Drosophila melanogaster: one gene and its partners. The protein of the gene in region 3 interacts with the protein of the main gene of each other region in a pairwise test. Each region holds a gene or a part of one and is shown on either strand. Other genes may lie near its edges.

The links.
Region 1: the proteins of CG9727 (region 3) and Oli interact in a two-hybrid assay, tested with the Drosophila melanogaster proteins (one large-scale study listed by BioGRID).
Region 2: the proteins of CG9727 (region 3) and Dr interact in a two-hybrid assay, tested with the Drosophila melanogaster proteins (one large-scale study listed by BioGRID).

What each region holds. Positions count from the first base shown.
Region 1 is NT_033779.5:17,583,925-17,593,501, forward strand, and holds Oli (olig family), read left to right. Parts: upstream 1-5,259; 5' UTR 5,260-5,655; exon of another isoform or gene 5,656-6,287; 5' UTR 6,288-6,315; coding exon 6,316-6,887; intron 6,888-6,947; coding exon 6,948-7,074; 3' UTR 7,075-7,343; downstream 7,344-9,577. Other genes in the region: CG6870 (uncharacterized protein), read right to left, coding at 7,774-8,187; Sytalpha (synaptotagmin alpha), read left to right, coding at 8,400-8,409.
Region 2 is NT_033777.3:29,552,982-29,562,845, reverse strand, and holds the start of Dr (drop), read right to left. Parts: upstream 6,461-9,864; 5' UTR 6,211-6,460; coding exon 5,001-6,210; intron 1-5,000. UniProt on the Drosophila melanogaster protein: Plays a key role in the specification of proneural and promuscular cluster formation. Required for the specification of dorsal and lateral muscle progenitor cells. Regulates development of peripheral nervous system derived from lateral neuroblasts.
Region 3 is NT_033777.3:6,445,509-6,458,458, forward strand, and holds CG9727 (uncharacterized protein), read right to left. Parts: upstream 11,169-12,950; 5' UTR 11,090-11,168; intron 11,000-11,089; 5' UTR 10,514-10,999; coding exon 9,750-10,513; intron 9,687-9,749; coding exon 9,444-9,686; intron 9,232-9,443; coding exon 8,796-9,231; intron 8,741-8,795; coding exon 6,341-8,740; coding exon of another isoform or gene 6,194-6,340; 3' UTR 4,436-6,193; downstream 1-4,435. Other genes in the region: gpp (grappa), read left to right, coding at 952-1,985; Zif (Zinc-finger protein), read left to right, coding at 11,779-11,922, 11,985-12,601, 12,659-12,793, 12,895-12,950.

The DNA of each region.
Region 1 (9,577 bases), on a different chromosome or scaffold from region 3:
ATGCACACCTCTTCCGAATTGGGAAGTCTGGCCTAATCGCAGTGCTGTGCTGAAAGCATTAGGAACAAGGACACATCATTAGAGCCGGCCCAGCCATTTGCTGCAGACTGTCATCCCACAGTCGAGCAGCATCCACCCAGCAAACAAGGACAACAGCCGGGAGGAGTGCATAATTCATCAAAATCAGCAACAGGAACGGAATCGAACAAAAGTTGACTCTCCCAAGGACGGGGTGATGGAAATCGTGCCGGGGGTGTACATAAGTGTACTATATCGAATGGCTTCTGCCGTTACCTGGACTACGATTGTAATTGCAGGCCATGGCTGCCTTTTGGTTAGGGGCATAATCAAAAATGCGTGTGCACCACTCGGCCGAACGACGCATAATCCCAAATCGCACCGAGGGGCATCAGCAACATCGGCTTTAGTACACTTTGAAAAATAGCTAGCTAATTAATTCAAATTAATTGATAAAGCTAACGGAACTTGAAGTCCTTCTTGCGAAAGAAGGAAGCTACTAAACGATACAGAAGGTACACGTTATAATGTTTCGGAAATAGAGAATATAATAGTATTCCTTTTCAATCTGAAATAGCCCATGTGACTTTGGTATACACATTATATTATATTATAATATATTATATTATAAACTAAGTTTATATAAAGCCTTTATATAAGTATGATGTTACTTACTTTTATTATATTCTTTTGTTATTATATATCATATAACTTTATTAAATAGTATTAATTTGTATATAACATGCAAAAATATGGACTTGAAGACACCTGTAAATTGTTTTATTTAATGATTATGATTTATGATTTCTATTTGTGTAGTCCAGAGACCCTGAGGTGACTCAGCTGACATTTATCGAGCTGTACTTGGGCATTGTTGGGTCCATCCAGACTGCGTCTCCTCCTACTGATCCACCCACGGACCATCGTCCTTCGTCCTGTGCCCTCGGCCCTCGCATCAAAGTTGTGCCCTTTGTTTTCGCCTGGTTCCCGGTTGCGTGGTCCTTTCTGTGTCCTGTGCGTGGTGGTCCGGGCCTGCGATTTTTTTTGTGTTTTTGTTCCATCCTGTTTCTGCTTTTGGTGTTCGGTTTGGACTCGAGCTCTTCTTTTTCGACTTCCACACGGCCACCCTGCTCCCTTTTTGTTTGTGTAACATTCCATATCCATTTGCAACAACGCGCGCAAAACAACAAAAAAAAAGAGAAGCGAACAGAATAAAGAACCGAAGGGAAACCGACAAACAACCCCTTTTCCACCCTTGGGGGTGGTGCCGAATCCTCAGACTCGTCCTCCGCCCCAGCATCAGCAGCATTTTAATTCGAATTGGTATTGCTCCGGCACTGTTATTGTTGTTTTGTAGCTGGCTTACCACCCCAATCCCCTCTCTCTGGAAAAGTCCTGGGTTCAGGTTCACCCTCGCTGTTTGGTTTCCATTTGATGCTGATAAATTGTAAGTACGCCTGGGTGGGCAGCGGGGTGTTAAGGATTCGCACTGCGGAGGAAGTTGCATACATCGCATAATTTGATAAAATATTGCACGCTTCGCCCTTTGTCTGAAATTATTATTATTTCGCTTCTTTTTTTATTTTTGGTTGTACGCAGAGCGCATATGATGGGCATTAGATGTAATCAATAAGAGCTCGACGCAATCCATTCAGTTCGGCTAATGGATGAGAAATCCTATCAAAGTGGCGAAATCAAATTCTGTGCGTTACAGTTTCCTTTTTTCCGAGCCACGTTTTGTGTGCAAATCGGTAATAATTTAGAGTGTGATGGCTTTCACGGGAATTACATTAAAACAAAGCGAACCGCACAGTATTTTGGGATTTATTCCAAAGCGGTATACTTTTGTAGAACCTATACTAAGAATCTGTGGGTAACTTGCATCAATATGAACAATTAAAGATGAAAATCTGAGCAAGTTACGTCTAAGGTTAGAAAATCATGGACTTTTATCAATTTTTGCACACAAAGCCGACATCAAATCTTTCCTTTTCTGACATACCAATAAAACAAAATCTTCCAATTGCTTTTTGTATTTTGCCTTTGTTAGCTTAAATGGGCCAAGTTTATCTTGGCTTGAAGAACTTGCGGCAAATGGCAAATGGCGAAAGGGCATCAAGCCTGTCAAGCCGGAAATGAGCGATAAATATATCTTCATTCGCTTCTTATTTTGAACGCAAGTCGGCAGCGATTTCCCCAGCGTACAATTGGCACATTTTTTGTATTTCGTTGACGTCTGCCAATAAAAGTAACAAAATAAAATATGGCACTGCCAGGAGTGCGTTCGTGTGTGTGCGTGTGTGTGTGACTGTGGCCTGGGGATCGGAAGTGCTACCTTGAAAACGATACGCTGGGGAATCATTAGGCGAACCGTCATGGCTGCCATAAATATTGCCAATATAACGAAAGCACATCGATAATAAGGTTAGGAAGCCATGCTCGTATATCCAGGAATCAACTGAATCTCCGAAGAGAGGACAAGCCAGGGCGGAGGGCAGAAAAAGCCTCTTCATAAATGTGCCCAATTGGTTTTTCAACAATAAAATGCTAATGATTGATTCACATTGCCCCATGGAGTGCCGTTAGTTCGAGCCAAGGCCCCACAGAGCCAAGGATTCTATGGTTTTGTCTAATTTGCGCATACCCAAACATTAAATTGGGGTTTTCAGGCTTTTGCATTTGTAATTTTGCCTGACGAAAAAGTCAGGGTTGTAAGTTGTCTAAAGCTCGAATGAAAGATACCTTAAAACTAAAGTTCAAAAGCATTTTCCATGATATTTACTGTGATATATTAAAAAACTGCATTAATAGTTAAAAAGTACATTGAATAATTTAATAAAATTAGTTAACAGCGTCACAAAATGAATAGAGCCACTTATGTCCATACCCGCGGTGGCTTAGTTCGAGGGTCATCCATTAACCCATGACAACCCTTTGACGGATCACGAGGTACGAGCCAAAAAATCCCTGGGCTGGCCATTTACAATTGGTCCGCAGTGCGGAACCTAAGCTAATGATGACTGGCATGCACAAATGTACAAATCTTAATTATGCAAATCACGGTCGCGCATAAATTATGCAAATTATAATGAAATTCCTCATTGCCTTTGCCGGACCTGGGATCCGGGAACCCGGATACGGAACAGCGACAAATGCCCATATATATGTATATGGATTGATAAAAATGTGGCCATAAAATGAAAAAACCGAAAATTTAAATTTCGGCTGGCCCGGGGTTGAAAAGTCGAAATGATTGTGTTGGCCGTAGCTGAAGCGCCGTAAATTGCAATGTAAATGCTGCATATATAAACTGAATTAGTCCCAGAACAATTACAACAAGGGAGAGTGCACTGCGATTGCAAATATACCCGATTCCGATCCCGAGCCCGAAACCCAAAAAAAAAAAAAACTCTCACAATCACGCAGCAAATGGTGCATTGCCTAGAGGGGCTGTCCAGATTCCGGATTTCATTGAAAATAATGGCATACGGTGACTGCTGCCCCGAACATCTGACACAATAATTTTCCCTACGAAAGGAGGGAAGCGCAAACAAAGGCCAAATGGAAAAGTTGCCAGCGCAAATTATTAAATTTATCATGCGCGAAGTCATTAGGTCTGTCGCCCGTGCTCGTAGTTTGACTTATTCTAAGGACTAAACGACTGCAGGCAGCTCCACGCACACACACTCCGCCACTTATACATAAATGTCCTGCGAGGCCCGAAGTGTGGAAAGTCATTAGTGGGCATTGCAGTTGACAGGAGGATGGAGATGCTGGCTTTGGATAATAAACATCTGCTTTAGCTATGGAACTTGTAAAATAACAAAGTTTATAACTTTAAAAGAGGCATCTTCGAAAAATTATTTCAAATTTTGACTTAACAATTTACAAGTCGATAAAAAAAAGAATGTTCACAGATTTTTTCGATTAAATTTTATTATTAAAAAAATTCTCTATTGATTGATTTTAAATATTTATCAGAGCAGCACTAACAAAGAATCTTCATCGGACGACTTTTTAAAAAAATGTTTGATTTTCATGATAATTTTGTTAGGTTGTCATTTAAACAGCGGATTTCTAAATATTTCAAAAAATATTTCAATTGAAAAACACTCTTATAATACTCTTAATTGAAAAATGTGTCCTTTTATATTTAAATTAATAAAAATATACCCACACCCAAAGATTGCTTAAAACTAATAAATACAATCAAATAAATAAATATGTGGCCTAGATCTGCCTAGCACTTCCTATCATTTTCCATACCTTTTTCTAGCTTATGCCTTTGCCAACGAAAATATTTGGCATGTGCCATTTATGGCATTGTTCCAGCTTTGAACAATGCGATACCATAATTTCCAGGCAACTCGCAAACGCACAAACTCGCTCACGTAGAGAATGCCATGCAGATGCGGCATCCTCTGAGCTATGCTGTATATGGGCATATAGGCGAAATACTAGGATGCACGGGCTATGGACGGCTATTCGTGGTCCTTGTTCCTCGTTCAACCCCCTAGGACAGGAATCCAGGACTGGCCAGGCGGCCCAGGATCAGCAGGCAGTGAGCATGTGATTAGATTCAGTTTCAATGGAAATTGAAATCACAGACAAAGGAGCGGACCCGGCGGATTCAGGGTGCGAGGGGTGGTGATGGGCCATCAGGGTTGAAAAGGAGCGAAGCGATAAAAATCCTGAACAACAAGAAAAGTGAATTTTCGGACAGGCAGGGCAAAGGCATTAAAAACTTCATACACTTGTAAAAAATTTGACTGCACTAAATAATATTCAACAATTAAATGCAACTTTGAGAGATAACAAAAGTTTTTGGTTTTCGTTACAATCAAGTGTGGTTATAGTTAATTATTACTTAACCAATTGAAAAATGCAGACTTTTATTTAATATACAAAATAATGATTAATAATGAATAGATTATTAATTAGTATGATTTTATACCATTTTTAAATGCAAATATGTAATTGTTAACTTTTCAATAGCAGATTAGATTTATGTTAGAAATTATTATTATTTTGTGTAGGGTATATCTGATGCTATATGTTATGTTTCAAAAAGGTTTCGATCATTAGTAATCATTTTTTTTTCTTAGTGCTGAAACTGTGACTCATTCACCTTTGTGAGTATTGGTAATAATCGTGCTGTATGTATTGGTGTGGATGCTGCATTATGCGAAGCCCAACCACTAAACGTCAACCACCGGCGTCGACACCCGACCCACATTTTATATAGTGGCTCATAATATTCCTTCTGCAGAAAGAGATTAACACCAAACGGCGACGGTGGCGTCGGTGGCAAAAAGTTTATAATCATCCTCGCTGACAGAGCGAAAGAGACGGGCGATTGGAAAGCATAGGCGGAGGCAGGGAGAGAGAGAGAGAGAGTGAGCGGAGAAAATCGGAAAATCGTTATGCGACTACTATAACCCACCACAAAATCGCGGTCGTCTCTGTTGTTGCCGGGCACCTCACACTCGCGCATCGATTCCGATTGCGATTCAGGATCTGAATTTTTTGCCTGGTTTGTGGTGCGTGCGATTTTTAAAAATGTTTAAATCCGCAATTTCTTTCTCCGTGCTCTGTGCTCTTCGTCCCCTTCGTACACCGGCGAACTTGTGATTTGTGGTTAATTTAAATTAATAATCTTTTAAGTGTGTCATGAATTAACTGCAAGTTAAATAAAGTGCTGCGTCGATTTTGCATATTTTATAATCCATTTCGTTGGGTTAATAATTGCCAAATTTATTATTTATATATATTGACGTATAATTTTAAAGTTTATTGTTTTCTGAAGTGCTGCGCTCCTAAATAAATTTAATGCCGCTAAAATTGTATTCGCCATGAAACATCATATTAAACCATCCCTTAAATTGGACTACTACACAGCGCCACCTATGAAAAGCTTTGATAAGCTTATATTCATCTTGTTAATCTGACTACCGCGTAATATTTTGGCTTTGAATTTCCGAAAGGCTTAACGATTATTTTGCTTTAATTAAATTTAAGGAATACCTGACAGACGTTTGCAATTTGTTAAACCATTTCGGGTTAAAACACAAAACAGATGCTCCACCTATAAAAAGCTTTGCTAACCTATTAAATACATAAAATTCCGACAGATGGCGCTACCGAACAGCTGAGCATACGAGTATTCACCCCTATTTTTTAGTTTTCTTATGCAACCCTGCATCATAATAACTTTGATTTGCAAGGACTACCCTAAAAGATTACACATCCCTTCAACCTTTTTTTCACAGCTGGAAAAGTCCCATAAAATACAAAAAAATGGATCCCTCGAATCTTGCTTTTGGTTTTCCCGGTCTCCCCAACCACGGACACATGCCAATACCTCCTACAGCCAATATGCTTGGTGGCCAGCATCCAGCACCCACCGCCAGCCCACCACAAAGCGTCCCCGGCCGTCGGACGCCACTTGGATCGGTTGGTCTGGGTGGTTTCTATGCCCAGGGAATGGGCATGTCCCAGCAGCCACCGACGGATGAGAACAAACCAGGGCCCAGTGCTCCGGAGAAGCCATTGAGTCCCACGGCCGCCGCCATCGCAGCCATTGCCATCAGTGGTGGCACCACCACGGTGGCCGTGTCCAGTGGTGGCGCCAGCGGAAGTGGCTCCAACAGTGGCAAGCAGAAAAACCGCCAGGGAAAGACGGTAAGGCTGAACATAAATGCCCGGGAACGACGAAGGATGCACGATTTGAATGATGCCCTTGATGAGCTGAGAAGTGTGATTCCCTATGCCCATTCGCCTTCTGTGCGAAAGCTGTCGAAAATAGCCACCTTGCTGCTGGCTAAGAACTACATTCTGATGCAGCAAAATGCTCTCGAGGAGTTGAGAAGGTAACGTAGTTCATTACCACGCTCAATAGGAATTATTAACATATATGCTTTTACTTTTAGACTTTTGGCCTATATACAAAGCACCACGGGAGCAGCGCCACTGGATTTGGGTGCATTTCCGGCGGCTGCCAAGTTGCAGGCTCTTCTTCAAGGACCTCACAACGAACCACCGACTAGCAGCAGTTAAATAGGAGTGGGGGCCACCATAAACTATGGTTCAACTGATAAGCAATCCATTAATGAGCAATACTTTTAAGTCAATTGGAAAGCAAATGCCAAATACTTGTGTACTAGTCAGACGAAAGGAGGTTGATAAGGAGCCTCTTATCAGAGCAGCCAAGTGAAAATCTGTTCAGTGATATTTATTTTTGTCATAAGCATTTCTTATTTATGCATTTACCCAATGTCAACCAATATGTGTAAGATGAATATTACCGAATAAAGTATTATTGAAGTAGAAAGTATGTCGTTGGAAAAGGGTTTGGTCATTTAGGTTTACCCATCAGCACTGATAGAAGCCTGTCATTTTTCAGAATCATCAAACAAACAAACAAAATAAGAGTTTCAAATACTCAAACACGCCCAACCCAACCAACCATTTATAGTCATCAGATAACAAACATCAAAGAGCACAATCAAATTTAAAATAATATAATCTTAGATCCGTTTCAAGTCTTGGCAAAAATATTTAACATATAAATATACATACATAGTTGTCTGTATGGTTTTTGATGATTAAGCAAAAGCCGTTTAGCGGAATTCGAAATAAGCGGATTACAACTAGAAAACTAGTCGATGAATACTCTAAAAATATATATATATATAGACATATACGACATGGAGGACGGCGGCGAAGGCGATCGGTGCAAAATCGGCTGGCATTATATTATTCCGGTATGCCCAGGGACAAAACCTTGTTTTTGCCAGTGCGAAAAATGTGCTGCTTGGTGGGCAGTTGACCGATCAAGAAATCCTTCATCATTTCGATGGCATCCCCCGAGTGTCCTGTGCCATGGAAGGCGATGGTGGCATCTCGCCCTGCGTGATCCATAATGACGTCGTCGCCGCCGGGATGATCCCTTAGAAAGTGTGTCACATCGTAGACCCTATCGTAGATTACCACCCAGCAATCGTCGAAGCTGTCGTGCTGGGCCACCTCCTCCAATGCGATCTCCGGCAGATCTTCCAGTTTTAAACGTTCCTTTTTGCTTGGTACAACGACCACCTGATTACTGGACTTTCCATGTCCCAAGGGCACAATTCTCAGCGATTGCAAGAGGTTCGTCAACGCGGATGACATGTTGTAAGTATGCAATTACTTTCACTTTTACTAATATTTGATACAACGATTTGTAATGCCGCCCGATCACTTCAGACAGCCGGCAATCGATTCAAGTTGAGTTCTGCTTGGTCGGCTTCAGTTCCAGTTTTACTTGGGGTCTTGAGTGTCTTTCGTGTGCAGCCACCGGTACTGGAGTGTCATTCATGCCTTGGATTGTAATCGTTTTATAAATGACAACACGTGAGTCGATCGATGGAGCCGACAGCATGGTGATAAGACTTCGTGTCCAGAGAAGCGAAGCTCTTATAGATCGGTTTCTATATAATATATAATTATATATATATATATACATATATGTATGTTCAACCGAACTGGTTTGCATCTACATATGTTCATGGGAGGGCTAGGCATTGCACTGAGATTGCGAGATTTTGCAATAATGTTTTGTGGTCACTCGTACTCATATGAGTCAATTTCCGAATATGCTCGTAAAGACGAGCATAAATTATATATTTCTCTGTTAATCGGATTGCTCAGTGAGCTAATTACTTGCTACCTTATAAATTTAATGGGCCAGCAATTATTAAAAGGGAGACATTTAACGCGCCTATCAGCATTACAATTGATTTATTGGCACAAGTCAAACGTGCATCGGGCGAATCAATTACGTCTACTCGAACCGTTTGATCGCCAGTCATTAAGGCAATCAAAATAAATTTTGGGTTAATAGCCTGGAGTTATTTACTTTTAATACTTAAATGCGTTTTAAGTTTGCCAAAAATCACGATTTGTGTCAAGCCACGTTTGTTCTAAATTCTAATGGGAACAGAGATAATGACTTCAATATTATCGCTCACTACAACTTTGAACTTGAAATTGGAATGGATTCGGAAATTATGCCACGCTTTTGAACTATTTGAACCATGGGAATGATTTTAATTTTACATGGAGTGAGTACGTTTAATCAATAATTATTACGAAACTAAAGATCTGATGAAATTATTCAGACTATTTAATTTCCCATTTATTAAATTCCAGACAGAACGCCATTCACTAATTCTGTACATTGTATTGTATAAATAGAAAATATTGCAAAGCTAAGGAAATAGTTCAAACTACGCAATATAAAACATAAATATTATTCAAGTAAAAACAACAAGAAATTATTTCTAAATAATAACTTTTAAGACGTCACGATTCAATTGTTATTGATCATTTATTATTTTCAATTGAGTTCAAGTTTGATGTGTGGTTTTAACAAGATTTGGTAATCTAATATGCTAGCATCTCAGTGTTAAGATCAGCATTATCACGTTAAGTAATTAACCGCAAAAATATTCAAAGTCGTAACTGAACGAGCTCTTTAAATGGGCTAAACCATTTGACTTTGACTTTGAGGTTTACATGA
Region 2 (9,864 bases), about 23 Mb from region 3:
CATGCCGGAGTTATGTTAATGCTGCGGCCTTATCGATATGGCCGATATGCATATAATTTCACTTATTTGTGAGCCTCGATCGTTTCTGGCCAGGTCGTAAAAGCGTTTTGTATGGCCCCTAACAAGGCGGAGTAAATCGCCTGATTCCAGGTGCCCCGGTCTTCATAATGAAGTCTGCATTCACAAAATTTGTTACAGACTCTGCGACTCCAAAATATATTTAAATATAAATATACATATACACTTTTGTAAATCGGCTTGTTTTCTTGGCCAGCTTGCATTCCGTGTGAAGTTTTGATTTTGTTTTGTCTTGTTTGGTATTTTGTTGTCGCTCTTGTTGTATTGACCGTAAATTAGTGGCCAAATTAGCATTTAAACGAGGCGGCCAAACTTTTACAGCCCTTTTTCGCTTTTGTCACAGGTTGGTCGCTCGACTTTTACGATTCTTTTTCTTTATACCCAGCATGGCTTTAATATTTATGTGCCATTTATGCGCGAAACTTTGTTGGCCCCGGCTCTCTGGTTTAAAAATTAATAAAAATCCTTCTTAATTATTAATCAGTTTCCATTGCAATCAGTGGCATTGCCATTATTTGTATGCAGTATCGTGCTCCAATCTTGCCTTCTTTTCGTTTCGTTTCGATTCGGTTTGCTTTACATTTATTTCAAAATTAATTGCTCATTTGTCGCTAAATTGTTGGAATGGGGTTTCCATAGCAAGTGAGCTGGATTCGACGCCCCCTTGCCCCGCCCACCGTCTGACTGTGGCATGTTGCAAAACCTGCGGAAAAGCTGAACAACTCGAGGCTCGAGGGGCAAGATGGAGACGCACGCTGAAACCAGAGTGCGAGACTCGTTTTCGCCTTTTTGCTCTTTTATAGGCATTGTTGCTGCTGCGAGTTGTTGCTGTTGCTGTTGCTGCTGCGGCTGGGGCAATACGTCGCCATTGCCAGCGCAAAATACATGCCACAAACGCCAATTGTGACATTTAGCCTATGTTTGTAATGGATTTTCAATTAATTTGAGTTCTCCGGTGTATTGTAGCCGCGACATCGTATAAGACCATCGAGCAGCAGCAGCAGCAACAACAGCTGCTAAATGAGACAGGCAACAAGCAATTGTGAAATTTACGCGTACCGATCGCAGCGGCAGCAATACCAATACCAAATATCCAAAGCAATCGCTTTATATAGCCGGCGGTGACAAGGCTCGATTGATGTGCGGTGCAAATTGCTGGCAATTAATTCTTCATTAAAGCGTTTTCGCATAGCACCATAGCAACATCCACATCCACGTCTTGTACATCCAGTAGCGTTTTTGCAGTGAAAACCGTTGAGCAATATGGAGTGCACTAGGATTGGATGCAGTGGATGGAGTGGATGGATTGGACAGATCGCTGGCCGGATGGCTAATGCAATTACACGCTTACGGTCAAAACGGCAATCGCTTTGGGACCTCAGGCCGATTTCATAATGTGCGATTTTAATTAGCTCCAAATAGGTGTTTACCCACTAACTGAATGATTAGCCGAAGGTCCTGGGCGCAGGGAGCTCAGTTGGCCAACTAGCGCACCGGTTAAACGGGTCAATTAATTAGTGGGCAGCGTGCCAAGAACCAGTTGCCAGCGATGAGTTTACACGGACTGCTTCGATTAGTATTATTACAACTATTTCGCTCAGTGCTGTTGCACTGCCCACTCTGTTGCAATCTTGTCACATTGCGTGCCACATAGTATCTATTTGGACTGTTTTGCAATGAAGTTCGCTGCCTCTGGGCAAGATAAGAGTGCTCGGATAGCCCGTGGGCTGGGTGAGGCCACCTCTTATGACAGCTTCCAAACGCTATTTAATTACTCAGGTGCAGCGCAGCAACAACAGCAACGGCAACAGCAACAAGCGCAGCAGCAGCAACATCTACAGCAGCAGCAACATCCAACAGCAGGCAGCTCAAATTAGTTGAACTACCAATTGTCTACAAATATTTAGCAAATGTTTTCTCAACCTAACAGATACACACCACCACACACACACACACACACACACTTAGCACTCCCCCCCTTAACGACCCCACTGCCACCGCGTTTAACCCATCACCATTCGCAGCACCAGCACCTTCGCTTTGTCTGGCCTGGTAATTTAATGCAAATAAATTTTATTTACCAAAACATACATCAAAATGTCTGCGCCGCCACACGCCCCCTCGAAGGCACCACCCCCCCTCGCCAACGTTGCTGTGTTGCATGTGTGTATTTAGTACAGCGTATGCACGTTAGATGGCGTGCAGAATGCAAATATTATTTTAGCTTTTGACTCTTTCGGCTTGGAGCCTTGCAAATGGTGTTAAAACGCATGCAAACGGCCCCCTTAACCCCTCGCTGCCCACTTATCGACAGCACCGGGTCTTCCTTAACCCTCTTCTCGCTTTTCGCCAACCAGCAGCCGTCTGTCAACGTTTAAATTGCTGCCGTTGCTGTTGAAAATTGCGTGTTTTGGGTGGGCGTTGCTGACATGCCACACCCACCGTTTTGGCCAGGTTTTCTCGCCCTCTCTCTTTCGCTCTCTTGCCATAAAGCATAGTGTGCATGTGTGTGTGTGCCTGGCTCTATGTATTTATGCAATGACTCCCAAGTTGTTGCTCGTTTGTTCAGCTTGAAAATTAATTTCTATAATGGCTGCCAAGAATTGCAGCTGCAATGCGTGGTGGCTGAGTAACAGGGGCCGTCGAGGGGTTAAAGGGGGCAAAAATGGGTGGCATGTGCAGCATACGTGACTCGACTGCGCTTGCAATTAGTTAAATTATGAAGGCACAAAGGGAATTCCCCATATTGCAACACGAAGATGCTAATCAAATGGCAGGGCAAAAAACCATACAACTTCAAGCCGACTGACTATGTGTGTGTGTGTGTGTGTTCCCTCTAATCGATGGTAGCTTAATTTAATAGTCCATGAAGTAGCCGACAAACGGTAGCCAAAAGATACAACCTGTATCTACCAGTTAAGCATTTGCCGAAGGCACTAAGTACCTAACACTTGACATAATGCCGCAGAAGATAGCGGCGCAGGTCAGAAGGGAAACCCTCCGGAAAAACAGGGGATCATCAGTCCACAGAAGACAGCAACCTGCTGCGCTAATGAGACACGCTGAACACAGGAACCAGAAACTGAAACCGAGACTGAGGGCCAGAAAACAACACAAAATAAAAAAACAGCTGCCAAATGATACGAAACGAAACGAAATGAAATGAAATGAAGTTGTTCGACTGTATTTTATACACATGCAGCAGTTGACAGCCAAATGACAAAATAAGCGGCAAATGTTTGGAATAGTTTATTCATCTCGGCATCTTTATAGGGAAGGAACGAAAGATAGCTCAAGTGGTTGATGAAGGGCGGTGAATTGATGGCCCACATCGAGATTGATTTATATCGATTTGTTGAACAGTTCCCTTTTGAAATATTTTGGAATTTATGAAAGCACTTTTAGAGATGCAGTTCTGGAATTTCATGTATTAATAGTTTGAATGAGGCGGTAATATGGTAATACTCGAACTAACCTACTTTAAAGCCCAAATTTCCTAATACAACACCCCATTTGAAGCCCTTTTTTTCAAAACACAGCCGACAGCTTTATAAAACAATGCTTTGTAGTGGCAAGAAAAACCCGAGCATATGCAGCAAAAACAGGAACAATAGTTGCTGTTCTGCATATAAAAAGCAAATTTACACTTTTTTGCCCACCGTTTTTGCACCGCCCTTTCCGAGTTTTTCGAATGTGTTTGAGCAACTTTAAGGAGCGGAAACGCAGAGTTCGCGATGGCCGAGTAAAGTTCACATGTCAGTCCGGCATCAAAGTGTGACTTGTCGAGTGTTTTCCCCGATTTTCCACCAGTTTTTCCCTACGACCCGCGGTGCTTTTTGTCCAGGAAATGCAGGCAAAGTGTGAACTGTGCATGCAGATAGAGATCGCCCAGTTAAACAGCCAGACTCGCTTCAATTAGTCTGGCTGGTCGGTTAGACAGTCCGCTTTTTACGCGCTTATTATTAGATTTTCCAATTCGGGAACGGTAATGGGGGGCTGGCTGGCTGTCAGACCGGAAAACACCGAAAAACGCCGCTGGCCAGCGAGTGCAATGAATAATCAGACGTGGCCAATTGAGTCAAATCAGAACCGACGCGACTATCATCAGCCATCAGCCATCATCATCATCATCATCATCAAATAATGGGCCCAGCGCAATCAGGCAGTTTTCATTGTTTTATTTAAGGCCCCGCAATAATTGCCACGCACTTTGACTACAAACTGCAGTCACGATCACTTCCATTCCATAGCCATGATGACGATGACGACGAGGTGGCCATGATGGAGCACCCGCAGCTCGCGTCCGACCAGGAGCGGAGAGTCACCATCGATGCCAATTAAGGCGAGGGGCGGCAGTTAATTGAATTAAAATGCGACACAAAATGGTGTAGATAAAGTTGCCACCGCACATGGGGCATAAAACAATGAGGGGTGGGGTGGGTGGTTTGAAATTCCTCCATTAAATAAATCGTTTTTGAATACACATCGCTGGCTGCTAATGGGGAATTTGCTCCCAAGCGGAATTCGCGTATTTCTATTGTTCACGGGTTCAGAAGTTCATGTTTATGGGTTTACAGTTAATTATAAATAAATATATGAAATGTAACTATATATACACTCATATTTACTTTGATGTTAAGGCTCTAAATTGAAAATATTTTCGAAAGAGAGTTGAGGTTGTTTTTATTTTTTTTGAAGTAAACCTTTTGAGTTCTATATTCTCTCCTATATATATTTTTATTTTCCCATTATTTAATTATGCCCATGCTGAATCCTCCATTGCAAATGAGTTTAAAATATCGCTTAGGACAGGACAGTTAAGCACATGTAACAGATAAGGTTTATCATTTCCCCTCTAGGAAGTACAAAAACCGAAAACAAGCTGACAAAAACCCCACAAAGAACTGGATAACGACACTTACCTCCACCGAATCCTGCTCCCGGAAACATGCCAGGCGGTCCGAAGGGCGGCATTTGTCTGGTTCCTGGCCACGGAACTCCACCGCCCATTCCCGTCCAGGCCACCGCCGCGGCGGCCAGTGCACTGAAGGGGGTCGGGCGGATGGGCACATGACCGGAGGCCAGGGCCGCCGGGGAAAGTATCGTGGATTGCATGTGAGAGCCCGGCGGCGGACCGTGCGGCGATTCCAGCGACTTGCCGCTGCCGTCGAGGCCGTCGGGCGTGGAGCGCGGCGAGTCGTCGGCGTTCATGTCCTCGATATCCACAATGGAGTCCTCCTCCTCGTCGTGATCGGCCTCGTGGTCCTGCAGCATCTCCTCGTCGTACTCCAGCTCGGAGTCCGTGTGGCTGCCCAGCGGCGAATGGCGTTCATTTTTGGCGGGAGTGGAGGCCACATTGCCCTGCGATCCCAGTGCGGATCCCAGTGGCGTGGAGCTGGGCGTGGAACTCGTGGAGGCGGGTGGCGAGTTGGCCCGGGCGTCCGCCTGCTGCTGCTGTTGGCGCAGCTGGGCGGCCATCGCCTGGTGCTGGGCATGTGCCGCCGCAGCCGCGTGGGCGGCCTGCAGCAAGTGGGCGTGGTGCGCGACGGCGGCGGGATGGAAGGTGTTGGCGGGAACTTGGGCGGCCGCACTGGCCGGCGGAGGCGGCGGCGTGCTGCTGGCCTGGGAGATGGGCGAGGTGGCCGCCGAACTGGTCAGGTTCTGGGGTCCATCCGCCGCCTGGTTGGGTGGCGTTCTGGGCCTCGTGTCCGCCAGGAGAGAGGCCACACTAAAGTTGCTCAGTCGGGAGGTGGTCTTGTGCAGATGGTGGGCCGGCGGATGCACTGCGGCCAGCTGGAGCGCCGCCGCCTGCTGCTGCTGTTGCTGCTGCTGCTGGTGTTGCTGGTGCTGCTGCAGCAGATGCTGCTGATGGGCCAGCAGCAGTGCCGACGGCGAGGTGGGACTGGCCAGGGCATTCAGGCCAGCCGGGTGGCTAGGACTCAGGTTGGTCAGGTTGCTGCTGGTCATGTTGCCGCTGCTCATGTTGCTGCCGCTGTTGCTGCCGCTGTTGCTACTGCTGCTGGTGATGATGAGGTTACCCGCGGGAGTGTTACTGCTCGGCGGCACCGTGGGACTGGTCATCGTCTGGCGCAGACCTGTAACTGTCATGCTCGCTGGGCTGAGCTTTAACATAAAGCCTTTCGATCGTTTGTGTAACTGTGGCTCGTTAATACTGTGCTTTAGGTGCGCCGGTTAATTGGTTCATTGAGACATGGTCTGCTGTTAATTTGTTTTGATTATCTTTCAATTAATGCGCTCGTTCGTCACACGCTTGGGAAACACAGACACACACTGTCACACGCGGCGTTTTGTATCTTTTCAGGGGCTATTTATTTCCAGAGAGAGACACGTCCTCTTGAGATCACGTCTGTTCTGCGACTGAAACTGTGGTCGCAGTTTCGGATGCACCGCTGCCTGCCACACAGATACTCACTCACACCGACGCACTCGACGATTGGTGGTGGGAAACCGGCTGTGTAGAGCGTGCCTCTCTCTCACTCCCGTGGTGGAGTGCACCGCGTGCGACACCATTTTTATTGGTTTCGAGACTAGCTCGCTCGCTCTTTTTTTCCGGTGTGAGTCTTGTATTTCTCCACTTTTCTGACTTTTGTTCCGCCTTCTTTTCTCTTTCGCTCTCGCTTCAGTGTGGTGAGTTTGCCGCACTCTTGCCGTACAGACAGAGATGGTGTAGCTGCCCCGCAGTATAGCCGTCCCTGTCGCACGCCTAATTATTATTGAATAATTCAATCTTCAAAGCGTTTTTCCACTTTTTTTTCGAGCTGCTGCGCGTATTAGCATTTTATAACAAGCAGCGGCGGCAAACGCCTGTCCATTTCCACTTTGGTTTTCTGGCTTTTCCTTCCATCTCCATTTTCCCTCTATCTCCCTCTTTATCGTTTATGACTTCATTTGGCCAAATTGGCGTGATTTTTTAAGCTTTATGTACGCCTAATATGTACATATATATGTATGTATATATAGACCAGGCGGTTTTTCAATTTTAATTGGCACTCCTACATGTCCTTAGCGTACAAGAACAATATAATAAATAATAAGCCCATCATTATCAGGGCCCCAAAAGCATCAAATGTCGGGTGGAGCGGCATTATCGCAAAGCTGCAATCTCGGTCAGGAAATTATGTTTTTTCTTCCCTTTTGCTCCACCTCAGGAGATAAGCCATAAAAATCGGATCGGTCCACATAAATCGAACGTCCCGGGAACCCGGCCGAATCAATCACATACATATAAATGTGAAATATGCAGGATTATATAGAATTTTGCCAACCCCCATAAGCTCCATAAATTGCAAGGTTGGCGGGTGGAGTGAGGGAGGGAGCGGGAATACCGCACCCTTTATAATTCTCGCTCTACAAATTAAACTCATTTTAAGGATTATTATGTGAAATTGTTGGCTTGAAAACTTTTGCCAGCCATTGTTCAGCTGCTCCTTTGTTTTCCGCTGCTCGAAGGACCAAGTTGTGAAAATGGGAAATGGGCGTCGGATTGTGCGGGTTCGCTCGGCTTTTCGGGCGGCAAGTTGGTGAAAGGATTTTAATGACAATTGCCAGTGGGTGGAAAATAAAGAGCTCAATTAGAACAGTTGACGAATGGCTGTGTGGTTGCCTTAATTAGTTGCAAACGATGCTGAAAATGAAACGACTCTGCATGATTGGGGAAATTCTAGCCAATTAATTTGAGTTCTTGCCTAAATGGGTTGGGTGAAATTTAGAAATATTTTTATATAATTTCTGAACTTTTTTCAAACTCTTTCCGAAATCGTTTTTAATTACACTTAAAAGAAACCAAGACAGTAAACTCGTTTATGAACTTCTCACATTTCCCAGCCATTCAATTAACACTTGATATACCTCTTACCACTTTTCCAACGCCCCTCTTGACTGATTAAAATTTTTCCAACTTCCCAAAACTTGAGCTCTTCATTACGATGCCCGGCAATTCCGCTTTCTTTTCAATTAAACATTTCGAAATGGCGGCAAAATGCGATGAGAGGCCCCTCAGCTCGTTAATATCATTGTCTGCGTCTCGTTTTCTATACTTTGTGCCGTTGGCATAAACAATTATAGCCAATTACAAATATTAATTTCTCAGGCCAAGCACGTCGAGCGTTTCTTCTTTTATTTTCCACTACTTAACCACCATCATTATTCATTGCGCTTTGAAATACGCAAATGAGCGCCGAAAAAAAGCAATACAACAACGAGGCGCAAATTAATTTTTCAATAAACATCATAAGCGAGCTCCAGCCCCCTCCACTCCCCCCACCTATTCTCGATCCCACCACTTCGAGATGAAACGAAACCGGCAAAAGCAGCAGCAAGTCGGCCAATAACAAAAGCACCAACAAAGTCCACGCTTCGGCCAAGTTGGTCATTTGATAAATGGCCGCCGATTTGCGTGCGTGCAGTGATGACTGCGATAGATTTTAAAAACTAGCTAATAAAATATTAAAAAATATATTAAAAAAATATTCACCTTATGTGACTAGAAATGTGCAATTTATGTTTGCCCAATAAAGTTGTTATGTCTTGCAGTGAAACAACAAACAAGAAATATTATGTTCACTTTGAAATAACTTCAGAAATATGCTTTAGAACAGATTCTGTTAATTTTTGAAAACTTTTAACTGAAACATATTGAAAACTAGCTAGGTTTGGCTAATAAAAAGCCTGCTGCCCAACACTAAGTGCGTGGATCGAAAAGATCACGTCGTTTTCCTCACTTTCCTTCCCCGCAACGAGCGTATGTAAATGTTTTGATAGTTTTTCATAATTTTTCGAATTTATATATCCCGCCGACCGATTCCGATTCCAGTTTGATTGTAGAAGCTATGGCTGCGGAATGAGAGGTGGGGCTATTTGGACGTATATATGTAGTTGGCCATGATTGAGTGGGTGTGTGTGTTTGTGTGTGGGTGTTGCATATTTATGTGGGTTGCCGCTTTGCTTTGTGTGCCTTTTTTGTCAGGCAATTAAATGAGAATTTGGTGTTTTATTGTGCAATTAATTCCGAATTGAATTGCATAATTGTTTGTATCCGAGAGTGAGCAATTACCCAGTCGGCAAATTGTTTATTATACCAGCTGGAAACGAGAACAGCGCTAGATTCTGTTTTATTAATGGAATGATCAAATTTAATAGTTTCTTTTACTCGTATTCAAACTAAAGGCACTAAGTCATTAACATTTTAAGCACTCTTCTAATTAAATAACTCAGAAAGAGATACAGCTGCACAAACATCCTTTTCCAACGATAATTAGCAGCTCGCCGAATTTAATTCCGTTCCCCAATTTTCAAAGGACCTCCTAAACGACGCTAATTTCATAGCGACCCAGCCAGCAATCCGCCCCACAGAGGGCGGCACTGTGCCAGGACAACCAGCCAAGCGGCGCATAATCAAAATTTCATTATCCTTGCGATGCGTTAAATCGCTTAAACAGGCCGAAAAAGCGAAAAGAGCGAGAGAGCCAACCAAGCCACCCAAGCCACCCCAGCCACCCACTCCACCCACAGAAATAACCTTAGCGGACCAGCAAACAGTTGACATGTTGACAGTTCAGAAATTTCCGAAGGACGCAGGACGAGGCTGTTGCGAAACTCGGCTCAATAAACGCCACAGCACAGGACGAAAAGAGATGGTGGATCCTGGGGATGCGATGCTTTTCGAGGGGTTGTTCGCCGAGTAAATAAACCATCCCCTTGCAAAACCCTGCGGTTGTCAGTCAGTCATTTAGTCACAGCGGCTGTTGTGGCAATTGCGGCTGCCTC
Region 3 (12,950 bases):
CTTCTATTATGCTCTACTCCATACAGTTAACGATTTGGCAACGCAACGTACTATAACTAATTACGATCCCAGACGTCGCCTTCGCACGACTTTGTCTGGCCCAACGAAACTATCAGCTGCCCATAGTAATCAAAATCTGAACGGATATGTTATGGCCGATAGTAGTAGTAGTTGCCCCACAATACCCCAATAACCAATGATCGATTGCATTGAATTGACTTGCATTGAACTGAATTGAATTGAATTGAATTGATTGATTGATTGACTTGCATACCTCAAAATTCCTCAAACAAACTAAACAAAAAGCAAAACCGAAAACATGTTTGTTGTTGGGCGAAGATACGATCTTGTAATAACCATAAATAATAAGCAGAGTACAAAAAACCTGATGAAAAACAAAGATTTCAAATCAGAAACAACCTACAAAAGACAACTTTTAATTTTTGCGTTTAATAATTTACCTACTAAAAGTACAGAATTTATATGCCAAAAAAAAAAAAAAATATATATATATATATACTTAAAAATCCCGAACAAAATTTATGAAAATTTAACGAGCATGAGGTAAGTTCTGTTGCGCCTAATTGGTTTCTTTCTTTTAATTATGATTTATATATTTTACTTTCATTACGTAACTCCTTTGTTTCAACATTCAATCACCACACTAAACAAATAAAACACAAAAACACCCATTAATACAAATGAACACAAGAACATACCCTCCTGCACGCAACGCGCAATGCAGCTGTACCAAAAAGATAATGAAATATGAAAAAAGCTTAGGACAACACGCGTTATCGCCAGTGTATCGTTATCACCCTTTCCAATTGACTTTTCCAAATATCCACTCAAACTCACAATATCACCATCACCCAAACGAAATCTAAAAATCGCACTAGTATTGGTCGCGTTAGCGAGATAAAACTAATATTTTATCCTAATTCTTCACAGACGATGTTATTGCCGCTGATGATGAGACCCACTGGCAGCATCGAGTCAGCTCTGGTTTCGACCGCCTCGTGGCCTTCGCCAGCACTGAATTGGATAAGACCAGGCGAAGCATCGATGGCGATACCGTGCCGGCCTCGATTAGTTGCAACACGTCTCCGGACTCGGGCATTACGCACAGCAGCAGCAACTCAGATGCAGTGCGCACATTTTTGTCCACCTCGTCCAGCTCCTCGCAGCTGGAGCTGCCCATAGGAAGCGGTGGTAGTAGCTGCAACAGCCTCTACAACCATCATGCCCAGCACAACAACATTGGCATTGGCGGCAGCGGAGGCAGCCACCCACATCAGCAACAGCAACAGTTGCAGGCGCAGCACCAACAGCAGCAGCACCATCTTTCCGATCACATGAGCGACAGTAGCATGAAATCCTCGGCATCCTCCTCGCTGCATGCTGGTAGCTCCCTTAAGACCGTGTCGCCAGTGGATCCCAGTGCCATCGAGTCGCCGCCACTCTCGGACGTTGGATTGCCCAGAACTCCCAGTCCCAGTGCAGCCAGTGTGGCCACTCCACCACTGGCCAGTGGACCACCCGTGTCCGGGGACTTAGGTGGTATACCTCTGAAGTACCAGCGCAAGTCCAAGACCAGTTCGGAAAAGCACTACAAAAAGAAGTTCTGCGAAAGAAACTGGGAGTACGACTGTGATGAACTGCTGGCCTACTCCAACTCCAGTGCACCGCCGACGGCAGCAGATGCAGCGGGCAATGGGCCACTTAACTTGGATGCTCCCAATACTGTGGGCGGAGCACCTGCACCGCTCTTGGGAAAATCGGGAAAGTCACCCAAGGAAAAGTCTTCACCGCACCACACGGGCTTAAACCATCAGCAGCAGCACCATCACAAGTCATCCAAATTTCGGCCAAAGGGCAAGGACTGGGACTGGTCAATGGACAGTCGGAGCCAAACGGGCGAGCTGCTGGCCGCCAGTAACAACATGAACATTAACAACAACTCAGCCACCACAACGAGTAATTAATTTAGTAAACTAATTTAGTTCAATTTGCTGAATGGAGCGTGACAGAGAGAAATCCAGAAAAGTATGCAAAGCTTTCATGCTTTTAGCCAGATTATTTGTAAATGGGTCCAGACGGATCGGATCCCGGATCCTCGGAATTGTAATGTATTTGATAAAAGATTTTTTGTAATTTTAACTAAATGAATTGTGTATGACTAGCTAACTTATTGTAAGGCCCAGCTCTCCAATTGCCTTGTTTTATTTGATAATTACTATCCAACAGCTCCCCTTTCACCAGTGTGTTTTTATTTCATTAATAATTCTAATTAGTCTAGGGACGTTTTTCGTAATACTTTATAACGTTGAACCGGAAAAACGCAACTGCGCTGATGAACAATGTTACTGATTTCTTTGTACCGATTACCAATTACTATGATTATGTATTTAATTTGAACTATTGTTTAATTACGTTTGTCCATAAGTTGAATGTTTTGTCTTTATTATTTCAAAATAAAATTGTAAACTAATTACACCGATTTAGTTTTGTGTTCATTATTTCTTCTTGTTCGCTTGGTTTTGTTCTAGAAAAGTAAAACAAAAATGCTGTTCGAGTTTCGCGAGATTGAATTGGGACCAACCCTAAAATTCCAAACCCTTTCCAGTTTTTGAGACGACGAGATAGATTGAAGGGAAGTTGCTTCCATTAATAAAATGTACATAAGGATAATAAAAAGTCAGTGTAGCAAATATTTACTTTGCGCTAAGTGACTTAGCGATGTATTTACATTTTTGAGCAGCACGTTTACGATACAGAAAGTATATCCAAGTTTGGCACAAGCAATTTAAAGTTATCTTTAGAAAGTTTTTAGGCGTTTTTATTACTTTTAATTTTTTTATATTTCAGCTCGCGTGTAGAAAGATAGGTATTCGATGTACTGGGGTGTTCAAGTAGCAAGCAGTGGATATACAAATACTTTAAATAATAATCGCAATACAATAAAACTAAACTGAAGTAGTGGAATTAGTAACGTATACAACCAACATGCAACATGCAACATGCATTCGCAACCGCAACAGCAGCAAAAGCAGAACGACAAGTAACCTTATAAATTAAAGAATTTTCCACCTCAGCGAGATAAACAACAATTTTATAAATTATATTATATTATAGCAGGCATATACAAGATATATACATACATATATATTATATACGAGCAAGCAGTGTGGGAGCTAAAAATATCAGGAAACCAATTAAGCCGTAAACAGAGAAATAAATGATTTACAAGCATTTAATAAACAAGCATAACCCACAAATATTTAGCAAAACATAAAGAACTATAAAACTTATATGATTAACAGTACTTATAGCGAATAAAGGGAATTTCAAATGTGCTATTAGCGTAGTGTAATATATATGAATAATAAAAGAGTAAATAAAATAATACCTACATACAGTCAAGACAGAAGTTTGTACATCAAGGCGCAAAATGATTTTTATACGTAAATTATTATACTGATCCCAACAAAAGTTGTAGGAAATGAAATATTATTGTGGCGCTATTGAGCAAGTAAATAAATAACATGTAAAATGCATATAAAATAATATAATCTTAAATAGTTAAATTTACATGTAAAATGTATAAACCGGCAAAGAAAGAACGTAACAGTAAAACTCTCGAATGGAGAAGAAACAGTGGAAAACATTAAGTGAGCACACACACGCATATTACAATTAAAGGTATTATTATGTATATTTAACAAATATTAATTGCATATTATTATTTTAAACCTAAACGTTTAATAAAAAATATTAACATATAATTAACGAATATCCTGGTGTATGCTATGTGGGTCGGACTCGAAGATAAAAAAGGCTTAATAGTTGCCAATAGATCGACGTTCATACGGACCGACAAACGGACGGAAAAGCGGACGGATATGGACAGATCAACTCGCCTTGTGGTTTTGATCAATAAGATTTAGAAACTTTTCCTTCTAGCTGATAAATACTTGTACCTTTTTACTCTGCGAGCATCGGGTAAAAAAATCTAGAAAATTCGCCTCAGATGAGACTTCATTTTTTGAAATCCGTTCAAAAGATAATTCAAGTAACTGGTATAAAAAGCCGCACCTTATACTATTTTAGTATTATATTTTGTATAAATTTACTTTTAAATTCCAAACATTTCATTTTAATCCTTCTGCATGTCGTCCTGGTATCTTTTAAATTCGAAATAATTTCAAGCTTGTGAGTTGCAACAATGAATGTGTTTGGTTATAGAATGAATATCCATATCCTTACAGCTAAAAAAAAAAAACAAGACATTTTTCCAAGCCAATAAATACTCTCATTTTCGTTTCTGTTATCTGTATTTTATGTCATTCAAATATCTTATAAAAAAGTACAGTTTTGGTTCGTTTAACTTGAATGCATTGTTTCTGTATAATTGCATATATCTCCTCTAAAGTGTTCCCGGTGACAATATGTTTTACTTATTTACCTTAGGACTATTGCTATTGTTACTCGTATATTGTTGGTTGTTGTTCAAAGCGGTATGCGGGGTAGGTGGCGCTGCTTAAAAATAAATAATCGTTAAAAGTTTTGCTTTTAGTTTTAGAATTCAGCTGACAATGTTTATTTTAGGCTGGGTGCTGTTCTGGTTATTGTGTATTGGTATTCCTGTTGACTATAAATATGCATTTATTGTTTAATCTGAGGTTCTAACGAATTTATTTGATTCCCTATCCTTGCCTTTTGTAAATGAGTGTATATTTAATTATACTCGTATAACGTTCTAATAATCTATTTAAGTGTGTATACGTAGCTATCTTTTTATTTTTAATGCATCTTTGTATGGTTGTATCTATATTTTTGTTGTGGTATATAATTGTTTTACAATAAAGCCTGAGGCACATTTATGATTTATTTTCTTTACATTTTTAAAAACATCTGGTCACAGAAGCGGAATCATGTTTTAAAAAAACAAAAATAGCTTAGCGGTAATGTTTTACTTTGTTTTACAAACAAATTAACATTCATTTGCAATGTGAATTATGAATAAGAAGATTTAAGGCTAAACTTTGTTCAAAGCGCTAAAACGAAAATAAAGACTTTAGTAAACTGGGCACAAGAAACGACATTTCAACAAGAAATTTAGGCATTAGAAGACTCGAATTACACATGTGCGAAATTCATTTACAGGACAACTAAAGTACTAAGCGCAGATCGGACCGACCAACGCGAATTAAACAAATACAGTAAACAGTTATAACAAACAAACACTTACAACTAATAGAAGAATTAAATGTTTTCAAGATTGACAGATAAAGATATAGTGTAACAAATAGAATATGTCGATCGGAGTTGGATAAGAAAAATCAAAGGACTACACCTAGGAGCCCAACCAGTCGATGAACAATTGACGAAGCTCGTTATTCTCGATACCTTACAACACCATACAAACACACATTTAAATTTGACAATTTTGAACTGAGTCTAGCTCCCTGCGATCCACTTTAAAATCCATGTGGAAATCCCTCTAGAAATATATAGATATATATACTTATATATGTACAACCGAGGATCGCAGGAAGACAAACTCGTCGAGCGCCGAGGTTTGGTTCTATAGTTCTAGATGTACATTCGTTTACAGATACATTTTGTAAATTTGTTTCGTTTTTAAAACCGCTGCACACGTTTCCTTCATTCAGACTTTAAGTTCGTTTCATTTGTAATGTTGTTCAACAATAAAACTATGCACTACATACAGCAGGGGCAGCAACGGACTGGCTGCCCCACCATCGTCATCAGCGTGTTAATGTTATTGTTTAGTAATTATAACAATATGCCAATTGCATACATACAACAAGGCCTGAGGGTAACGTTAGATTAAAGAAGTCGGCTCAAGCTCACACCTCTAATGATGTTGGACACTTTTGAAACCAATAAGAGGCACAGTTAAGCTGTTGATTAGTTTAAACAGAGGGAAGATTGGATTTTGTTGAGGGTTTCTTAGCTAGCGCGTGGCACGAAGAGAAAGCTCATGTGCGGGGGACGTCAAGAGGCTTATGAACCAGTTTCTGAATTATATCGAGTTTCGGTTCATACTAGGCAAAACAGAAATTCCATATACTCGGAACAGGAACAATAATAAAGGACTACTTAATATATAACACACAAACTAATCAAACGAGACATCAATACGGCAGTAGGCGGATGATAGTGGGATTTACAATTGGTCCACATGCTGGAGCAGACAGGCCACCACATTGGCATCCTCTTTTGCAGCTGACTGAACCTCGTTCTCCTCCACCGCATCCGGCTCCTGCTGCTCTGATATTTCGATCTCCCCCTGGGCTTTCTCTTCATGCAAATTCTAAAAATCGTCGAGTATGCCTGTGACACCAATCATGGCCTCAACCACATCTGCACTGCTCGGGGCACTGTCGTCGATGAGGGTGTCCGTGCTGAGTGCCAGCGTAGGATCGGTCGGAACAACTCCTCCTGCAAAGGCAGATGACGGTAAGCTATCGATGGTGTTGCCATTTATGAGGAAATCGCGGTGCACCTCCGCCGGACTGTATCGGAAACGTTGAGTTGCAATGGGCGTCGTTGGCATAGACTTGGATATGTCTAGTGAATTGCGGGCACTGTAGGAGTGTGCGTAACCCAACTGACTGTTATTGGACGTAGATCCTTCCCAATTAAACGAGTCAGAGATGGTGAAGAAACCATTTCCGACGCCACAGTTGCCCCCATTTCCGATTCCCATGACACCTCCTCCGCTGGACGCTGCACCACCGCCTCCATTCAACGATGTGAGGCTATTTTGCTGTTGATGTGGCAGTGGAGTTGAGGGCACTGATCGCGAAACAATTCCCGCAGAGCCGCCACTACTGTACCCGGAAGATGAGCCCGCCGAGGAGCTGCAGGTTGTTGCTGTTTGCTGGGTTATGCTGTTAAACTTTCTGGTGAAATTCGCTGAGAGAAGCGAGTCTACTTCCACTTCCTCGTACAGTAATCCTGTTTCTTTTAGAGGCGCAGACTGCTGACTGTTGCTGTTCTCCGAGTAGAAGTTCAAGCTTGGCGATTGTTGGCTGCCTCTCCGTTGCAATTGTGACAACGGCACCGATTGTGAGCGCTGCATCTCCGATGTATCTAACTCATTTTCTCCCGTGAGCGCCAGACTTGTCTCCAGGTCCATTGAGTTCTGATTGACCAGCGGATCAGCACTGTGGCTGCTGTCTGCAAAGCTGGATATATTGCCGCCTCCTAGCGACCAGTTTCTACACATCCATTGGGGAAGAATCGATGGACTCGGTGGTGCGGAGGCAGACGTGCTTGTAGGGTAGCTGTACACATATCCTCGACCCTTGCGATGAGCCCCTATCATGGGATCCCGGTTGTCGCAGTCAAGTGATTGCTGCTTGCTCAACAAGTTGGGTCTTTGCTTCATCCGAGTCAACCCGGGACTAGCGAAGCAATTTTGACTGGGATTCGACGACCCTGTGGCTGTTGGTGTAGTCACTGATCCATTGGTGTTTGGTGAAATTGGTAGGAAAATGCAGTTCTTGTTGCTACCATTGCTGGAGGCGTTGCTGAGGCTGATCTTTCTCTTGTTGTTACTGATAAGCGGCAGCTGCTTGGAACGCTGCAATTGCAGGTTCTGATGCTGGTTCTGCTGTTGATGCTTTTTTGACATTAGGGCCAGAGACGCTGAGGCAGAACCCACTCCTGCCTGTGCGGGCAACATCGAAGGTGCCGGCACCGGCGCCAGCATCGCTGCTGCAGCGGCGACGACTGCTGCTCCGCGTCCGGGGGCGGGCATCGCCTCCGGTGCAGAGCCCATCGTCGGTGGCTCTTGTGGATTCTTGTTCTGTTCGGCAGCATCCAAGGAATTCAGTTGTTTTTCCTCAGCGTCTCCCATCTGAAAATATTGGAGCAGCTCGTTGTCGGGCTCCTCGGAGTTCTCCTCGTCCTCGCCTGGTAGAAAGTAGTCATCCAGCTCATGCTTGTCCATGTTACAGATGCTTATCACTCGCTCCCTGGGCAGTCCCAGATTCTCAGGCAATCCAGAGTCTTCGGCGGCTGCCAAAGCGGCATTTTCCGCTGCCATCAAACGCTTGGCTCTCAGAATCATCATTTGGTTTCGGGAGGCCACTTTAGGTGTGGTGTCCACAGTGCTCGACGGACTCACCGAACTGGTGCTCATCATCTGTGAGGGTGGGCCCATGGAAAGTCCAGGTCCCGGAACCGGGGATGTCTCAGAGTTTGGCGGTGGCGGTGTGGCCGAGGTTGTAGTGATCGTAGGTGGAACCAGTAAACCAACACCGCTCGTTGTCCCACTGCTTGGAGAATTCGCCCAGAATCCCTTTGTCTGCTGCGCCTTCAAAACCTTCTTGCAGAAAATATTAGAGGTGTAGTCCTCCACCTCATCTTTTATGACGATGCCCGTGGGGGATACCTCCTGCTGGGTGAGTACTACGGCCGGCGAGCCCATCTCCAGGATTTTGGGCGTGAGGTTGCGGACAGCGCTACTGCTTCGCTGATCTGTGGCTAGGTTCATGGGCGTTACCTGCTGTAGATAACCTATTGGAGGCTGCTGGGGATGAATGGGTGAGTCGATGATCTCCTGCTTGATCTTCAGTATCTGTTCGTCGCTGGCCTCCTGGCTGCTACCCGCGTCTTGGCCAGTTACCAATTGATTGCAGCTGGACTCCGAGGACGTGGATCCCTTGCGTTTCTTTTTGCGCCGCTTTTTCAAAGGTCCAATGTCCTGTTAAAGAATACTGCATTAGGACTCTCTAATTAGGGAATATTTTAATACTTACTGCTAAAACTCGCTTTTCCTTGGGCTCCCGAGGAGTGTATTTTTTTGTAGAAACTGTTGCATTGTTGCTCTTGATACGGGAGCTTAGATCCGCAACGCTCTCTAGCTTAGTGTTTAGCAATTTTTCTGCCCAACTGCGCACCACATCCCAGCACTCAGAGTCACCTCCTGTCGATGGTAAGCCACCCAAACTGGAGGCACTAGTTAGCTGACTCGGGTCCGAATTGGAATCACCCGCTACGATCTGCTCCGTCTTGCACAGCTGCGGCAGTTGCGGGGGCGTCAGCTTGGTGGTTTTCCGCATTGCCGCATAACAATAGCGAGAGTTTCCACGCGTCCCTAATCTCCGAGGACGAACGCCCGGAAATACCTGCTTCATCACCTTGCCGAAGTCTGCTGTGGACAGAGGTTTGATGCTGAGGCGTTCGCAATAAGCTCTATAAATGAATGGTGAAATAAACCAATTATTAATTTTAGGGCTATGCTAAAAAAAAAATGCTAGTAATAGTATGATTATTCAACTGATTTGCAGCATTTTTGTATATACAATACATATTTAGACTTCTCAAGCGAAAAATGAATGAAATACATTTTCACTGTTACCGTCTTAGTTTCAATAATGCTTTGAATAAGAATGAAAAGAACTCACATGTAATCATTGTACACATCCTGTTTTGGTATGGAGACCTGTGCATCGTGCTCCAGATGGGAACGCACCCAATTAATGGTATGGTTAATCTCCGAGCGCGTTCCTAGTGGATTTTGTGGCTGCCTCAACGGATCGGTGTCTGCGCATTCGCCAGGCAAACGAAGATAGAGGAATAGCTTCTCAATGGGCTTTAGTCCCGAGACACGCTCTAGAATCTGTGAAATCTGCAGCTTCGCATTGTCGCTGAACGGGAAGACGCACACAAATTAGCAAGGATAAACATAGGATTCTTCAAACAACACTTACTCCAAGCTGGTCTCAATCACCTGCAGCACCCTTCTCATCTTCTCCTCACTGGGAACTGATCCCGCTGAGTTGGAGTTGCTCAAAGCATTCATTACGTTTTCAGCAATGGTGGAGTTTATCACTCCACTGGCCGCTGGAACGCCCTCGTTCGGATGCCGTGGACCAGCTATTGTTGGGGTCGAAGGAGCAGCTGTCGCTGGAGTCGTGGTGACTGGTACTGGCGCCGATGGCACTCCCGCAGTAGCTCCGCCCATAGCGTGCATGATCTTGCCCAGACCCAGTTGCTGGGCTGTGCTAAAGCTGAAGGCATTGGCAAAGGCCAGGCCAGCAGCATTTGCACTCGCCGTGGCAAAGGGATTCGGAGTAAGTACGGAAGTGGAGACACCTCCACTGGCGCTGGTGGCATTGGAAAACGGAGGCGGCACAAAGCCGCTGGGCGTGGCTACAGGTACAGGTACATGGGTGTGACTCGTGGGCGAGATCTGGGCAGAGGCAGGTGCTCCGCCGACAGGGCCCACGGGCGTAATGGTCAAAGGAGAGCCCTTTGCATGGATAGCAGGTCCTTGAAATCTGGTTGCGCTGTAGACTATATCCGCGGGCTGTAGGCTGCAGTTCCCATAGGGATTGGCGTTGGGTTTCTGGAGGGGTAGTGCCACAGGGATCGGTTGAGGTATGGGAATGGAATTGGAGACTGGTGCTGTTGTTGCTGCTGGCGCCGCTGATTTCGTCCACTGCGCACCCAGCTGGCCGTGCTTCTCGGACATGTTAGGTGCTAGTGCTAGCGGCGCCTCCGTTTCCCTCCGCCTGCTGCTGCTCCCTCGTTGTTTTCTGCCTGCTGTGGTTTCTGGCCAAGATTAAGGGCGCTTCCGCTGCCAGGTTACGTAGGTGGCTGCCTGTGTGAGTGCTGGACTGCGTTCTATTGAGTGTGTGTGTGCCTTAGGAGATGGAGATTGCCGAGTCGATAACTGGCGCGACGAACATTTTGACGGCTGCGACGGACGAAGATACGGATGCCAGATATAGTTGCTTTCCCATTTTCCCGTCAGGCGGGAGTGCGCTGGGCGTGGGACGTGAAAGTGCGTGGCGTTCTTTACTGCCAACGAGCATGCGATTTTCCCAGATACGCACCGATTGAACCGAAATAATCCATTTTTTAACGAGAGATAAGAAAATATCTTGCGTTCTGCGTCTCGAAAAATATGTGGCGTTGCCAGACGGCTGCATTAAGAAATGTGCTTTTTTTGCCAGAGCTTTCGGATGTAAACACGGTGTTGTATTTGCGATTTCGCATAAATAAATGAGTAAATTACTAATAATTTGTATATAATTTGCAGATTCACCTTACGCAATGTTAGCTTGTATATGATAAACATGCAACGCTAGTCTTTTAGTGATCTTGCTGTCATCGTTATCGCCACTGGTCAAAAAAATGAGCCATAGAGAACTGGTTCCTAGCTAAATTAAATCTTTGGTGAGATGTATTGTCAGTATTGGACATAATATTTTCTATTGATAAGGCAAATTTAAGCGCATTAGGCCTTTTTTTAAATAATATTTAATGTAAGACGTTGGTATTTTTATGATTGAATTCTTTACTCTATCTAAATATACGTAAATATGAAAGAAATATATAAATATATATATAATTGTTTTCATAATATTTGAATATTTGAAGTATTAATATTTTCTTTCTCATTTTACAAGTTGTTTGTGTTTATAGGCACACTGGGGAATACTTTCAGTTATCATATCATATCGTTTAGCCATGGTTAAAGGAACAAATATTTCCAATGTATTGTCACAAGCAGCAAACATGTTTATCAGATATTTAACCAAAAATCCGCTTCCCGGAACCAGCAAAATGAACCACATCGTGTTCGCCGATGCTATGCAGCCCTGGTAAGGAAAATGGCGATGTCTTTTCGTTTCTTTTTTCAGTCGCTTTACACAACACTTTAGCAACACAAATTTTAACACTACAATACTACGCGAGCGGTTCTTTAAATTAAATTTCGAGCAGGATTCCAGAATGCGCGTCGAGCTTACCCCACAGACGTGCCGGGTCTGCCTGGCGCAGAGTGAGCGACTGCAGCGCCTAGACGAGATCCGCGAGGAAGGCGAGGAATCGCCGAACGAGATGTTGATTCAACTTTTGGGAGTCTCATACAGCAATGTAAGTGAATCGCTAGAGCTGGCAATGCGAACTGACCATTCATCCATCCATCCCTCATGCAGCTGAACGACAGAGAACACATACCCGATGGCATCTGCAAGTCCTGCAAGGTCGAACTCAACATGGCCTACCAGTTTCGCGAGAAGGCGCTGCGCAAGCAGATGGAGATTGAGGAGTACTGCCGGGAACTGGGCTTGCTGGACGAATCAGATGTGATGATGATCAAGGAGGAGGACGGCTCGCAGCAGCAATGCGACGAGGAGATGTACATCCTGGAGGAGACCACCACCGGGGAAGAGGAGCACCAGGAAGAAAAGGGGCACGAGGAGTACTTGGAAGTGGACACCAGCGATCAGCAGGAGTGCATTGGCGACACCATCGAGTACTTGGAGGACAACTACACCATCGAGATGAACTCCGATCAGACCGAGATCGTCCTGGAGTCTGAGAAGCAGTACGAAGAGACACCATCGCAGCAGTTGGCGCTGCAGGAGGCGGCCAAGGCAAGCCTGAAGGCGCGGCGCGGCCGGGTTCGTCGCGGATTAAACTCCCTAACAACATCGGACGGCACTGAGAAGGGTGGCTATATCTGCGACGTCTGCGGAAACTTTTACGAAAAGCGCGGCCGGATGATGGAGCATCGCAGACGCCATGACGGCATCTGCCAATATGCATGCGAGTAAGTCGAGTCGGTAAATTTCATATTAAAGCGATAACCCTAATCCCGCCTTCACAGACTATGCGATGCCAAGTTCCAGGTGCGCGAGCAACTGAGGAAGCACATGTACTCCCACACGGGCAGCAAACCCTATAAGTGCAGCTTCTGCAGTCGTCAATTCTTCTACGAAAGTGTTCTCAAGTCTCATGAAAAGTGAGTAGAAATGTTATTCTCACGGAGAGGCCTCAAAATGGGCCATTTAAATATATTCCTAGTTCGGGACAGAGATAACTAACTTTTCTTTTTCCGATCAGTGTTCACCGTGGCATCAAGCCCTACGTGTGCAAGGTGTGCGACAAAGCGTTTGCCT